3 linked regions of the Drosophila melanogaster genome follow. The protein of the gene in region 1 interacts with the protein of each later gene in a pairwise test. Each region holds a gene or a part of one and is shown in the gene's direction. Other genes may lie near its edges.

Evidence for each region.
Region 2: the proteins of mdlc (region 1) and Prosbeta4R1 interact in a two-hybrid assay, tested with the Drosophila melanogaster proteins (one large-scale study listed by BioGRID).
Region 3: the proteins of mdlc (region 1) and Hr3 interact in a two-hybrid assay, tested with the Drosophila melanogaster proteins (one large-scale study listed by BioGRID).

Annotation. Positions count from the first base shown.
Region 1 is NT_033777.3:20,056,211-20,059,933, forward strand, and holds mdlc (midlife crisis), read left to right. Parts: upstream 1-1,537; 5' UTR 1,538-1,643; coding exon 1,644-1,749; intron 1,750-1,807; coding exon 1,808-2,534; intron 2,535-2,601; coding exon 2,602-2,842; 3' UTR 2,843-3,081; downstream 3,082-3,723. Other genes in the region: CG4390 (uncharacterized protein), read right to left, coding at 301-1,164, 3,357-3,485.
Region 2 is NT_033779.5:2,651,166-2,654,433, forward strand, and holds Prosbeta4R1 (proteasome beta4 subunit-related 1), read left to right. Parts: upstream 1-1,880; 5' UTR 1,881-1,981; coding exon 1,982-2,072; intron 2,073-2,123; coding exon 2,124-2,680; 3' UTR 2,681-2,761; downstream 2,762-3,268. Other genes in the region: CG33125 (uncharacterized protein), read right to left, coding at 1-897, 958-1,126; Or23a (odorant receptor 23a), read left to right, coding at 2,978-3,268.
Region 3 is NT_033778.4:10,231,499-10,236,319, reverse strand, and holds the start of Hr3 (hormone receptor 3), read left to right. Parts: upstream 1-1,712; 5' UTR 1,713-2,107; coding exon of another isoform or gene 2,108-2,446; 5' UTR 2,447-3,008; coding exon of another isoform or gene 3,009-3,539; coding exon 3,540-4,296; intron 4,297-4,821. Other genes in the region: CG12912 (uncharacterized protein), read left to right, coding at 2,108-2,446. UniProt on the Drosophila melanogaster protein: Putative receptor whose ligand is not yet known.

The DNA of each region.
Region 1 (3,723 bases):
AAAGTCCTTAGGAATTCGACGAATGCTGAATACCCATTACTTAAGTTTTTGTTTGTGAAAGGAAATTGCTGAACTTAAAACCGAAATAACAAAGTACACGCCATTTGTGTATAATCTTCTGTACATTGGCACCTAGAATGAATAAAAATATTTGTTTTTCAAAGTCCAAGTTCAAAGTTTAAAGTCAAGAATGTAAGAATACATTTTAGAAGCTCAGTCGAAATTGGTTTATTTACTGCCAAATTTACGTTGAATTATGGTTTCGGTGGAAACCAACGATTATGTACAAGCGGAATATCATCAAGCGGAAGCTGTGAGCAGGGCGGCATGGTAGGCGATGTGTTCGGCGACGAACGTGGCGATGTAGAAGTAGCTGTGATCGTATCCCTCGCGCTGCTTGAAGATGGTCTGGATGTGATCATTGCCATCTGCGGCAGCCAGCAGGTTCTCCGGCAGCAGCTGCTTGCCGGCCAGGAAGTTGTCTGCTGCACCTTGGTCGATGAAGAGCTCCTGCGGAGTGCTCTCGTACTGCGACACCAGATGCGTGGCATCCCACAGGGCCCAGTCATCCGGATTGGAGCCCAGATAGCCGGCAAAGGCCTTCTTGCCCCACGGGCACTCGGTGGGATTGGCAATCGGCGCAAAAGCGGACACCGACTGGTACAGCCCGGGATTCTTAAGCGCGCAGATCAGGGCTCCGTGGCCGCCCATACTGTGGCCGAATATACCGCGTTTACCGGGAACCACGGGCAGATTGGCATTGACCACATCCACCAGCTCCTGGGTCACATAGCTGTACATCTTGTAGTGCTTCGACCACGGCTCCTCCTTTGCATCCACATAGAATCCAGCCCCGCTTCCAAAGTCGTATGCATCATCTTGGCCGGCAATTTCCACGCCCCTGGGCGAAGTGTCCGGATTGACGACGATCAGGTTGTGGCGGGCGGCGTGCTGCTGGAATCCGCTCTTCTGGATGAAGTTCTCATGCGTGCAGGTCAGTCCGCTGAGGAAGAACAGCACCGGACACGGTTTACCCTCCAAAGCGGCCGGCGGCAGGAAGACGCCAAAGGTCATGTCGCACTTCAAGGTGTCCGAGCGATGGCGATACACGCGTTGCTCGCCCTCGAAGCACTTATTTGCGGACAGCTGTTCGAGCGTCATGTTCTGGGGGTGAAACGGAGTAAATAATTTGTAAGCTAAAACTGAAATCCATTAATTTTTAAAAACGCACTTGTTTTTTGACGATCTAAAAATAACAAGCGATAAGAAAACAGTGTGACCGCGTGTAGAGCGCCAAAAGTGGGAAGCTTTCAGAACATCTTGGTATCGATGATTAAAAGGGTAGATCCCATAGGAGTTAATATTTTCTAGAATTCTTTAAATTAATATAAATCTATTAATTATTACATATTGATGATGTATTAAATATGTAAAAATTGCAATTATTACAAACGAATATATTCCTCATAAGTAAACATTGAATTTTAATGTGCCCGTTTCATACAAAAATACTAACTCCATAACGATTGTTACGCAAGTACCATCACTAGCCGGGAAGAAGAAGCGCCAGTTGGCGAAATTGCTATTGTTAATTGTTGTTAACGTGAATTACTAGATAAGTACATAAATTTAAAAGCCGGAGAATGTCGGAAGAAGCGGCTAGCACCTCGTCCTTTGGCTTCAAGAAGCGGAACCTCAAGAAGGGAGCTGGAATTCGTCGCAAAAAGGAAACCAGCAGTGATGAATCTGGTAGGAACTTAATTTTACCGCCAACAAAGTAAATGGGCAAATATTATTGATATTCCAGCAAAAAGCAGCGATGAAGAGACCAAAGGCAAAGCCAGTGCTCTGGTGCGAGCCGAGAACCGCCGAAAGCGCACGAATCCCAACTTCCAGAGCACCAAGACAATGAGCAAAGCAAAGAGACAGGCGGGAGGAGTTGGTGATGATGGCTCATCCTCAGCCTCCGACGATGATAAACTGGGCATTGCGTACAAATCCAAACGCGAGGCGCTGCCCAGTGGACCCCAAGATCAGGGAGCTACATCGATTAACGAAATGGACACAGAATTGGATCGCGATGCGCAGGCAATTCATGCGCGAGCTCTGAAAATCAACGAAGAGCTGGAGGGCAAGGCGGACGATAAGATCTATCGCGGAATTAACAACTATGCGCAGTACTACAAGAAGCAGGATACAGCGGCAGGGAATGCCAGCTCCGGAATGGTACGAAGTGGCCCAATTAGGGCTCCTGCCCATCTTAGGGCCACTGTCAGGTGGGATTATCAGCCGGATATATGCAAGGATTACAAGGAAACAGGATATTGCGGCTTTGGCGACAGCTGTAAGTTTCTGCACGATCGCAGTGATTACAAAGCGGGCTGGCAATTGGAAATGGATCACGAAAATCAGCGAACGGGTGATGTAGACTCCGATGGCGATGATACCAAGTATGAGATTCACTCCGATGAAGAAACACTGCCTTTCAAGTGCCACATCTGCCGACAGAGTTTTGTCAATCCCGTGGTAACAAAGTATGAAGATGATAACGATTTCTAAACTGGATTTACTGAATAAATAACATATTTATCTTTCTTCCAGGTGCAAGCACTATTTCTGTGAAAAGTGCGCCTTGGCCCAGTACAAAAAGTCACAGCGCTGCATCATCTGTTCCCAGCAAACAAATGGTATTTTCAATCCCGCCAAAGAGCTGATAGCTCGCCTCAAGACAAACCCAATGGAAAACTCAGATAGTGATGAGGAGGAGGAATTTGGGAAAAAGGAGGATAAAGCGGAAGCAGGGGAGGAAGCTCAGGAGATTTCTTCGGATGATAGTGATTAAAATATTTTTTTAAATCATTTATACAGGTTGTGAAAGTAAATAGGGACATTGATTAGATGCTTCACATAAAATCCATTTTACAGCACATTTGCCGCATAAGTGTAGAAAGTAAAGTAAGGATTGTACCACCGATAGGTGGCGTGTAAGAAATTGTAAAACCCTTTGCCCCAAAGAGAATTGCTGATAAATCACTATTCTTACTTGTAACTAGAAAAATATATTTTGATAAGTTTTCAACCAAGAAATACTAGTTCTGTGGTATTTATTAAAATTTTTACTTATTTTTGGGCGATCTATTACGATTGGTTAACATACAAATTATGCACAGCAGTTCATCTGTAAGTTGTTTTAACACGTATATATGTATGTATTCATTATTATTTATAATTCATACTAAAATTTGATACATAGGGACGGGACTGGAAAGTTAATCGTGAAAAGCATTTTATAAAATTAATCACAACGAGGATTTTATATTAATGTTTAGTCCGCAGGACCTAAAAGCCTTACTCACCTCGGTCATAATGTGGCCAAAACTGAGCACAATGCTCCGTCGCTTGGGAAGATTTGAACAGGCGACTATGGAATATACGAATGAGCTTCTACCACTCACACTGGGCAGACGAAGGAAATTTCTTCCCATTCCCAAGGGAGCTGCAATAACTTTGTGATTTCGATCGAGTATTGCTTGACGTTTGAAACGATCAAAGGCCAACTTTGACCAAATTTAAACTTGGCAAGCAACTGAAACTACTGCCTTCTTGAAGCGGCAAAATTTTGGCCCAATCTTATAGCCATAATTTAATTGTCAGCACTTTCATTTCCCGTTTCGCTCGCATCAGAAAGCACAGGCACAGAAAGTAGGGGAATTGGAAGCTGGG
Region 2 (3,268 bases), on another chromosome or scaffold:
TCGGGGACGGTGCTTTAGAATAACTTTTGTAGTACTTAGGTTGAGGTTTCGGAAATGGTACCGGTGGGGCTTTACTACTTTGTTTATAATCTGGATATTCGTAGTCATGGAATTCTTCATATGGGTTTTGATAGGCTTCAGCCGTCGGTTCCTCATAATAATCTCTGTATTTTTTGTAATTTTCAGGATAACCGTCATAGTCATTGTCACTCCCATATTCCGTTGAGTCATGTGGGTAACAATTTGAGGCATAGTTGGGTGGTAAAGATCCTGAGGCCTGCCTACAATTGTGTTTCATCCTATAGGAACTAGATCGTAACTGACGCGGAACAGCTCGTCTGAAGTCTCGATGGTAATCATCTTGAGCTGGGTGCTCAGGGAAGGGATATCTATTGTATCTCTTAGATTCTCTGTGGTGTCTATTTGTTGACCTTGAACCATGGGGGTAGTAGTCATATCTGCCATCCGCGTATTCTTTGTTAGCTCTTGGATCTTCCTGTTGTTTTGTATAATCAGAGGTTGAGAGGACTCTACGGGGTTCATCTTCCTCTAATTCATAAGGTTCATCATCTGGGTAAAAGTTATCAAACGTCTTCCCAGTCTCAAAGTCTGGATAGTGGATCCTTTTACTCTCATAGTAACCCGTAGAATCGGCCGATGGAGATGGGGAAACTAAACCTATTGCGGCACGACTTCGTCCGGATTTAATTGGTCTATGATAAAAATGACGACGTCTGTCGGAATAGGCAAAGTTATCTCTTCGCCGGCCAGAAGTTCGTGGCGTATAATTCCCATGATCAAAATTTGAATGTTCGCGAGCATAGAATTTATTGGCTGCTACAAATGACATCACACTCTCCGTAATTGGATTGGCCAATCCTCCGCCGGGAGCTCGTCCTAGATTTGCGTATATATTCGGGTTAGCGGACGATTGCCAAATGTCGTTAATCAACTCACGCTTTCCATTGCAAACGGAGGACCGTGGCTGCGAAATCTTGTTTTGGTGGTCACGGCACACTCCGCTCGAAATATCTACATTGAAGAACATTAATGTCCGATTCCATTCATCGTCGTCCTTGGAGCTCTCCAATCGGATTAAGCTCTGATTCGTCAGCGTAAATGACATTTTCAGCAGCCACGGAACTCATGCTCCCCAGAGTCGTCATCAAATTGAACTGCAAATTTAATTCATACCGAATGTTTGTTTATGTCACTGTGTCCGATTTTTTGATACTCTTTTCAAATGTTTAAATGGCAAAACAAAACAATAGGATACAGTTGAGGATCAGATCTTAAAATCAAGGTAAACACTGCGTCCTACGACCCATTTTATTATTCCAGCGAATTCCATTAACTTTCGCTTCCTTCGCTGTTGGCAGTTCTCGCATTTAATTGCAGTATAAATGTCTGAAATGGCAAACACAAAGGATGTGCGAACCGGGATGGAAATCTGGATGAGGATGGAATGGTCGTCATTACTTGAAGGGTGCTAGAAAATATGTTTTTAATTGCGGAAATATTTCCATTTCACAAATAGATGCAATAATTATTCAGAATGGCGCGAATTTCCATCACATTAAAAGTGCAGACAATGGGGGATAGTAAAATGCAGCTAGCGGATAATGAAAATCGTGTTCAAGTGCGGAAATGCTGAAAATTATTTCAATGAAACACAACTAAGTGCTTTTTAAGTGCCCCCAACGGTGGCACAAACCGAACGGAAATGGACGCAGACGAGAATTGGTTGGGTGTTTGGTCGAGGGGGTGGACTTGTTGACAGGACACGCAGGACTCTTACGGCCCCCGAACTTCGCAAAGTCGCGCTGAGAAGCGACAAATGCGTGGTCTAATATGGAAGGAAAGTGAGTGAGTTATTACTTATGTTCTGGCATCTGAATGTTTATCGGTCACCAAAAGACAGAAGTAACTGAGAAGGCTTTCGAAACCCGACTAAAATTTACTGAATCAAACATTACCTAAAATGGAAACCATTTTGGGTGTTAAAGGAACTGATTTCATCATACTGGCCTCGGATACCATGAGGAACAAGTCGGCGATGTGGCTGGATGACGGTAAGTAGGCCTTTGATAAGGAGGATAGTAATAATTTATAAATGAGTGTAGAGGTCAGAAAGACTCACCGCATCTCGGACTACTGCATGATGTCGACCGCTGGGGACGGTGGAGACTGCCTGAAGTTCTCGGATTTCATCCTCCGGAACATGGATCTTTACAAGATAACCAACGGATACGACTTAACCGTTCGCGGAGCGGTGCACTTCATCCGGAGGCATTTGTCCGCCTATTTGAAGAGCGATTGCACGTTCCAGGTGTCGCTGTTGGTGGGCGGATACGATTTGACCAGCGGTCCCGAGTTGCACTACATCGATTATTTGGGTAACTCGGTTCCCGTTCGGTACGGTGGCCACGGAGCCGCCATGAACTTCTGCACTCCCATTCTCGAGGAGTTCTACAAACCGGACATGGATACGCAGGCAGCCTATGATGTTATCAAAAAGTGTGTGATTGAGCTGTATAAACGATTCGTTATCAACTTGCGCAACATAGATTTGTTCCTGATAAGCAAAAATGGCATAACAAAGATGAATAGCATCAACCTGGAGTCCCTTAGAGGGGATATCTTAGCTGGTCCCAAGCGAAGGATATTAAACACAAAATAATAATCGAAGCCCTTTATATTTTTTGTAGCTTATCAAAGATTCATAAAATTTGAATGAAAATAATTTAATATAAAGCTCTGTATTAAGTGATATATAGATACTCCTTTGCTGAATGGCACTCAAAGGGTGTGCATTTTCCCAAGTTTTGGGAAAATTATATGCGACCCCTCGATAATGATTTAATTTGCGATTTAATAACCCCTGACTAATGGCGCAACTGACACAGAAAGGTGATATAAATGGTCGAGGTCCTTTTGAAAGTATGCCAGTGAAAAAGAAAGACACCAAGAATTCAAAATGAAGCTCAGCGAAACCCTAAAAATCGACTATTTTCGAGTCCAGTTGAATGCCTGGCGAATTTGTGGTGCCTTGGATCTCAGCGAGGGTAGGTACTGGAGTTGGTCGATGCTATTGTGCATCTTGGTGTACCTGCCGACACCCATGCTACTGAGAGGAGTATACAGTTTCGAAGATCCGGTGGAAAATAATTTCAGCTTGAGCCTGACGGTCACTTCGCTGTCCAATCTCATGAAGTTCTGCATGTACGTGGCCCAACTAACAAAGATGGTCGAGGTCCAGAGTCTTATT
Region 3 (4,821 bases), on another chromosome or scaffold:
GCAGCTAATCTTGCAACACAGTTGCGCAACAAAGAATCCGAGGCAACGGTACTAACGTGTTTGCTGTTTCTGCTGCTATTGTGGCTATACGCTGGCTTCTTTTTGATTCTGTTCTGTTCTTTGCTTTTCTCCGTCTCCATTTTCTTGGCAATCAGCTCTCTGAGCCAGTTGCGTGTAACAGGTTTTTCCTCTTGAATAACTGGGACTTTCTTACGGGACTTTTTCGGAGAGTTTCTGCAGAGAAAACAGGTTAGAATCGGCACAGACTTGCAATAGATGATGAGGCAACAGCCGCCGCAAGAAGTTTACAACGGTGAGGCACACATTTCGCGTTCACGTTAGAACCAACGGTGTTTTAGCCAAGTTTAGCTGCAAGCTGCTAGTAAGCTGGTTGGCAGAACCACCAACCAGTTACCAGTTACCAGTTAGCTCTTGATTGTTGTTGCGCAAGCGGCAGCTGAATGCGGCGCAGAATAAATCTAACATGATTTAAGCAACGGAAAAACATGAAATATTAATGCCGATGCTTGAGTCTTGGCTCCGAATCAGAATCCGAATCCGTCCTAACGGTGGTCGCTCCGTTCGCCATCATCGACCCTCCTCTATAAGAAGTTTGGCCCTATGCCACCCAATTCCCCCACTCCCCTCCCCGCCCTAATGATGGCTCGATCCGATCGGTTGGGCTGGGGCCCAGTTGGGCGATTAGTTCAAATTTGCCCCGTCTGTTGGCCAATGGCCGAGATGTTCTCGGTTCGCCCCTTTTTTTGGGCATTCTTGACTCGAGGGTCATTGTGGTCATAGCTGTTCTTTGATTGGTTTTTGCCCAAATTGGCATTGGCAGCTTTAATTAGCGAGCTTAACATTTTAGTGCATTCTTGTAGTTTTGAGAGCACTAAAAATGCGCATTTTATGACTCATTTAAAAATATATATGTGCCAATGTTCATACTATTTATGACACTTTAAAGCTTTTTATATACATACTATATAATTATAAATACATGTATATTATCTTTACACAGCTTGTAGTAGACAAGACTTCGTATATATAATGACTTACTACTGCATCTATAGTTTATCCGTGTTCTACAAATTTGGTTTATAAACGAGGGGTTAACCATGAATTACATATCTTATGCACTATTTAAATGCATAACAAAAGAAAATATTTGTTTACCAAATATGTTTCTTTTTAAACATGTATATATAAAAATATATATCATAGTTGATTTTTTATTAACTAATTTTATGAATTTTTACAAATATTATAAATGGCAGTTTCAGTTGTTAGTTGAGTAAATGTCGAAAGTCAAGCCCAGAAGACTCATTCAAAATTTTCCGCCCTTGGAATTTCCACCTCGAGCGTGCAGAAATTTCCCATGACGCTTTATCACCACGACGGGAATTTTCCTGGCCCTTAGCCCGCCCCCGCCCCCACTGAGAGTTTTAGGGGTGGAAAAGCTGCGCAACAAACGTTCGTTCGACTGTGCTCGTTTTCCTTCGTGTTGTGGCTTCCAGTTTTTCCTGGCTATGCACTTGGCATTATGCCTACTAACCCTATTTTCGCAGCAGTTCGCAGCGAGTCCCATTTTTCAACTTGCATGCGGATACACACGCACACACACACTCGGATTTTCCTTTTCCCAGAAACTGAGGCGCAACCCCCACGAAACGGAAAGTTTGTGCAGCGGCAGAACGAACTGTGTTTGTGGCACTCGAATTTGGGACACATTCCTGTAAAGGACGCAGCTCCGGTCAGCTGCTTCGCAAAATCGACAAAAAGGAGTCACAAAAAAACGCGCGCGGTGCATTTAGCCACAAATCTCTGAAAGTGAAAATACAAATATTGAAACAGTGAAATCCACAAACCAGCCAAAAGTGAAACAAAATTGAACACAGTGCTTAATTAATATCGAAGCTAAAGGGATAGAAATCCGATTAGGAAAAGGGAAAGCTGCAGCGCTGCTCCTGTTTGCCAAATATTGATTCGCAAGTGTGCCGCTGAAAAATCGATTATTAAAGCCACTTTCCACACAGCTGGTGGTTGTTGTTGCCGTGAGGATGGAGGTGGTGCTTGGGGTGGTGGTTGCATAGGGTTGCGTGCCGCGATGTGGGAAATCAACAGCAACATTGGCACATCCACATCCAGATCCAGAGGCACACTTCCAACTGTTTTGACGTGGTCGGGTTCCAATGGCGCTGACACTACCGAATGCTGCAGCGCAGCCTTGCAGCCATCCAGCGGCGACGCGTTGCATGTGCAGCAGCAACAGCAACAGCAGCAGCAACATCAGCAGCAGCAGCAGCAGCAACAGCAACAGCAGCAACAACAGCAGCAGCAGCAGGATACGAAAACGAGGATGACAACGACCACAGGCAAACGCGGAGGACACAGATACAGAAGCAGGCTCAGTCACCGAAGCACAGCAACAATTGCTGCATATTAGGCAGTAAAGTAAAGTTAAACACAACCCAAAACCGAAAAGACTAGCCCAAAATTTACTCAAAAACCAACACAAGTGGAAAGCATTAATCGGAATGTCGAACTCTATGCATCGCACAAAGTTACGTTAAGTATACGACGCGTATTTCCAGCTGCAAAACGAACCAAAAACGAACCGAACGAAACGAAACGCACAGGTGCATCTGCAGACCCCACTACGCCCCTAAAAGCCCACTCCCCCCCCTTTTCGAACCCTCAGCCCCTCATTAGGCCACCCCCTCTGGGGTATCTACACCAATTGACAAGCAATCGAGGCAATGCAGTATGAATGAACTTGTTTAGTCGACAATTTTTTAAGTGCACTTTCGTAAGGCTGATTTTCAATTTATTTCGATGTTGTGCTTCTACACCCAAAAAAAAAACCAAATATAACAAGTAACAAATACAAGCATAAAAGAACCCAAGAAATTCAAGCAATGAACCAAGTGAAAGTGTGAGTGTTTAGTGTTTTAAGCGAAGGCGAAATCCGGACATTTGAGAGCCTTTGTGAGTAAACGGCCGCCACAACGGATAGGCCCAGAGATCTCCTGCTGATACAGCAGGCCAAGCCCGCCGGCGGCAGCAAATCCTCCAGCGGTGGTCCAACGTATATCGGCACCGATGCCGCCACAGCAGCGGCGGTGGCCAATCTGCGCAGCAAGGTGCCCTCCATCTCAATAATCCCGCTGCCCGTCTCGACCACCATTGTGGCACGCAGTGGTAGCGGTGCCTCTGGCACTGGCGGCAGTGGAGGAGCACCGCCAGCACTGCCCCAGCTGATCCAGTCGTCGCGGAGTGTGTCCACCAAATCCACGGGCACGTCTCCACCATTGGCCTTTATAACGGAAGGTTCTGGAACATCGGGTGCTCCCGCCCTGACACTGCTGCCACGACCCCAGCAGCAGCACCAGTACCAGCAGACCGACAAGTGCACGGTCCTCAAACTGGACGTACTGAAGCAGCAGTCGGGTGTGGCAGCCAACTCCAGCAGTAATACCTACCTGCAGATCGAGCAGCAGCTCAGCGAACTGGAGGCCGCCGACGAGGAGGAGGAGAACATGGCCAGTTTGCTGGGCAGTGCGCCACCCGCCCAAATCCTGGCCAACCAGCCCATCATCGTCAAGATCGAGCCCACGCAATCCTTCCACATCGTGGACGAGGGCGACACGAGAGTACTGAGCTTGCCCCTCAGCGATGCTGATAAGCTGGGCGCCAGTTGGATAGATCTCAAGGATATTGCCGGCCTACAGGCCGGTGGCGGAGCCACCTTGCTGGACGTCTGCTTCGAGCAGGCCAACGAGGACGGCACCATCATAGCCACCGTGCAGCCGGACTTGGAAAACGAGCTCGAGGCTGAGCTAAAGGCGGAGGGCGAGCCCGAGGATGAGACTGAACCAGAGCCTCCGGCGCCCAAGAGATTGGCGACCACCAGGCCAGCACAGTCGCGGCCACAACAGCAGCAGCAACAGCAGCAGCAGCAGGTGAAATTCCTATCGGATCCACCGGCATTGGCACGCTCCAGCAGCTTCAGCAGTCTCAGCAGCTTTAGCAGCATCAGCAATATCAGTTCCGTGTGCAAGAACATGGCCAGCAATACCAGCCAGGAGGGCTCCCTAAAACGCACAAAGGAGCGAACTCCTCCACCAATGCCACCGCTCACGACTCACAAGCCCGCTGCCACAACAACAGCAACATCAGCAACATCTGCAGCCGCAGCAACATCAGCAGCAACAGCAAGTGCAACAGCAACATCGGCCAGAGAAAACAGCAGAGAGCACAGCAGCAGCAGCAGCGGCAGTAATGGAGCCATGACAGGTATGTTCCAGTGCAACTCTCAATTATATTTTAGTCAATTTGGGAATATATATACTGTTCGAGACGATAATATATCTACCAATAATATATCTTCATATGCAAAAGCAATGTTCTTCGTCACTCTTGCTCTTAACAAACGTTAAAGAATTTTACTAAGCCATTGTGAGTGATTGTAGCAAATATTTGAAAGACCTTAAGTCAAGGATTCCCGCGAGTGATGAGTTCGCACCCCAGAAAACTCGGCAAGAATTCCACTTGTTGCGAACAACCGCCGGCTAACCACAGCACAGTGAGCACTCGCCCAGAGCGACCACCAACGATCAGCGATGGTTCAGATAATCGCACCCATATCCCCCAGATCCCCTCCCCCTTCCCCCTTCCCCATTCCACGCCAGAATCCGAGCTATGCAAATGAACGCTCGCCCATTGCGCAAGCATCCCAGGCAGCGGCAATTAACAGGCTGACACATCAGCAACACATCAGCAGTAGCGGCAGCAACACTAGCAGCAGCAACTGCAACAACA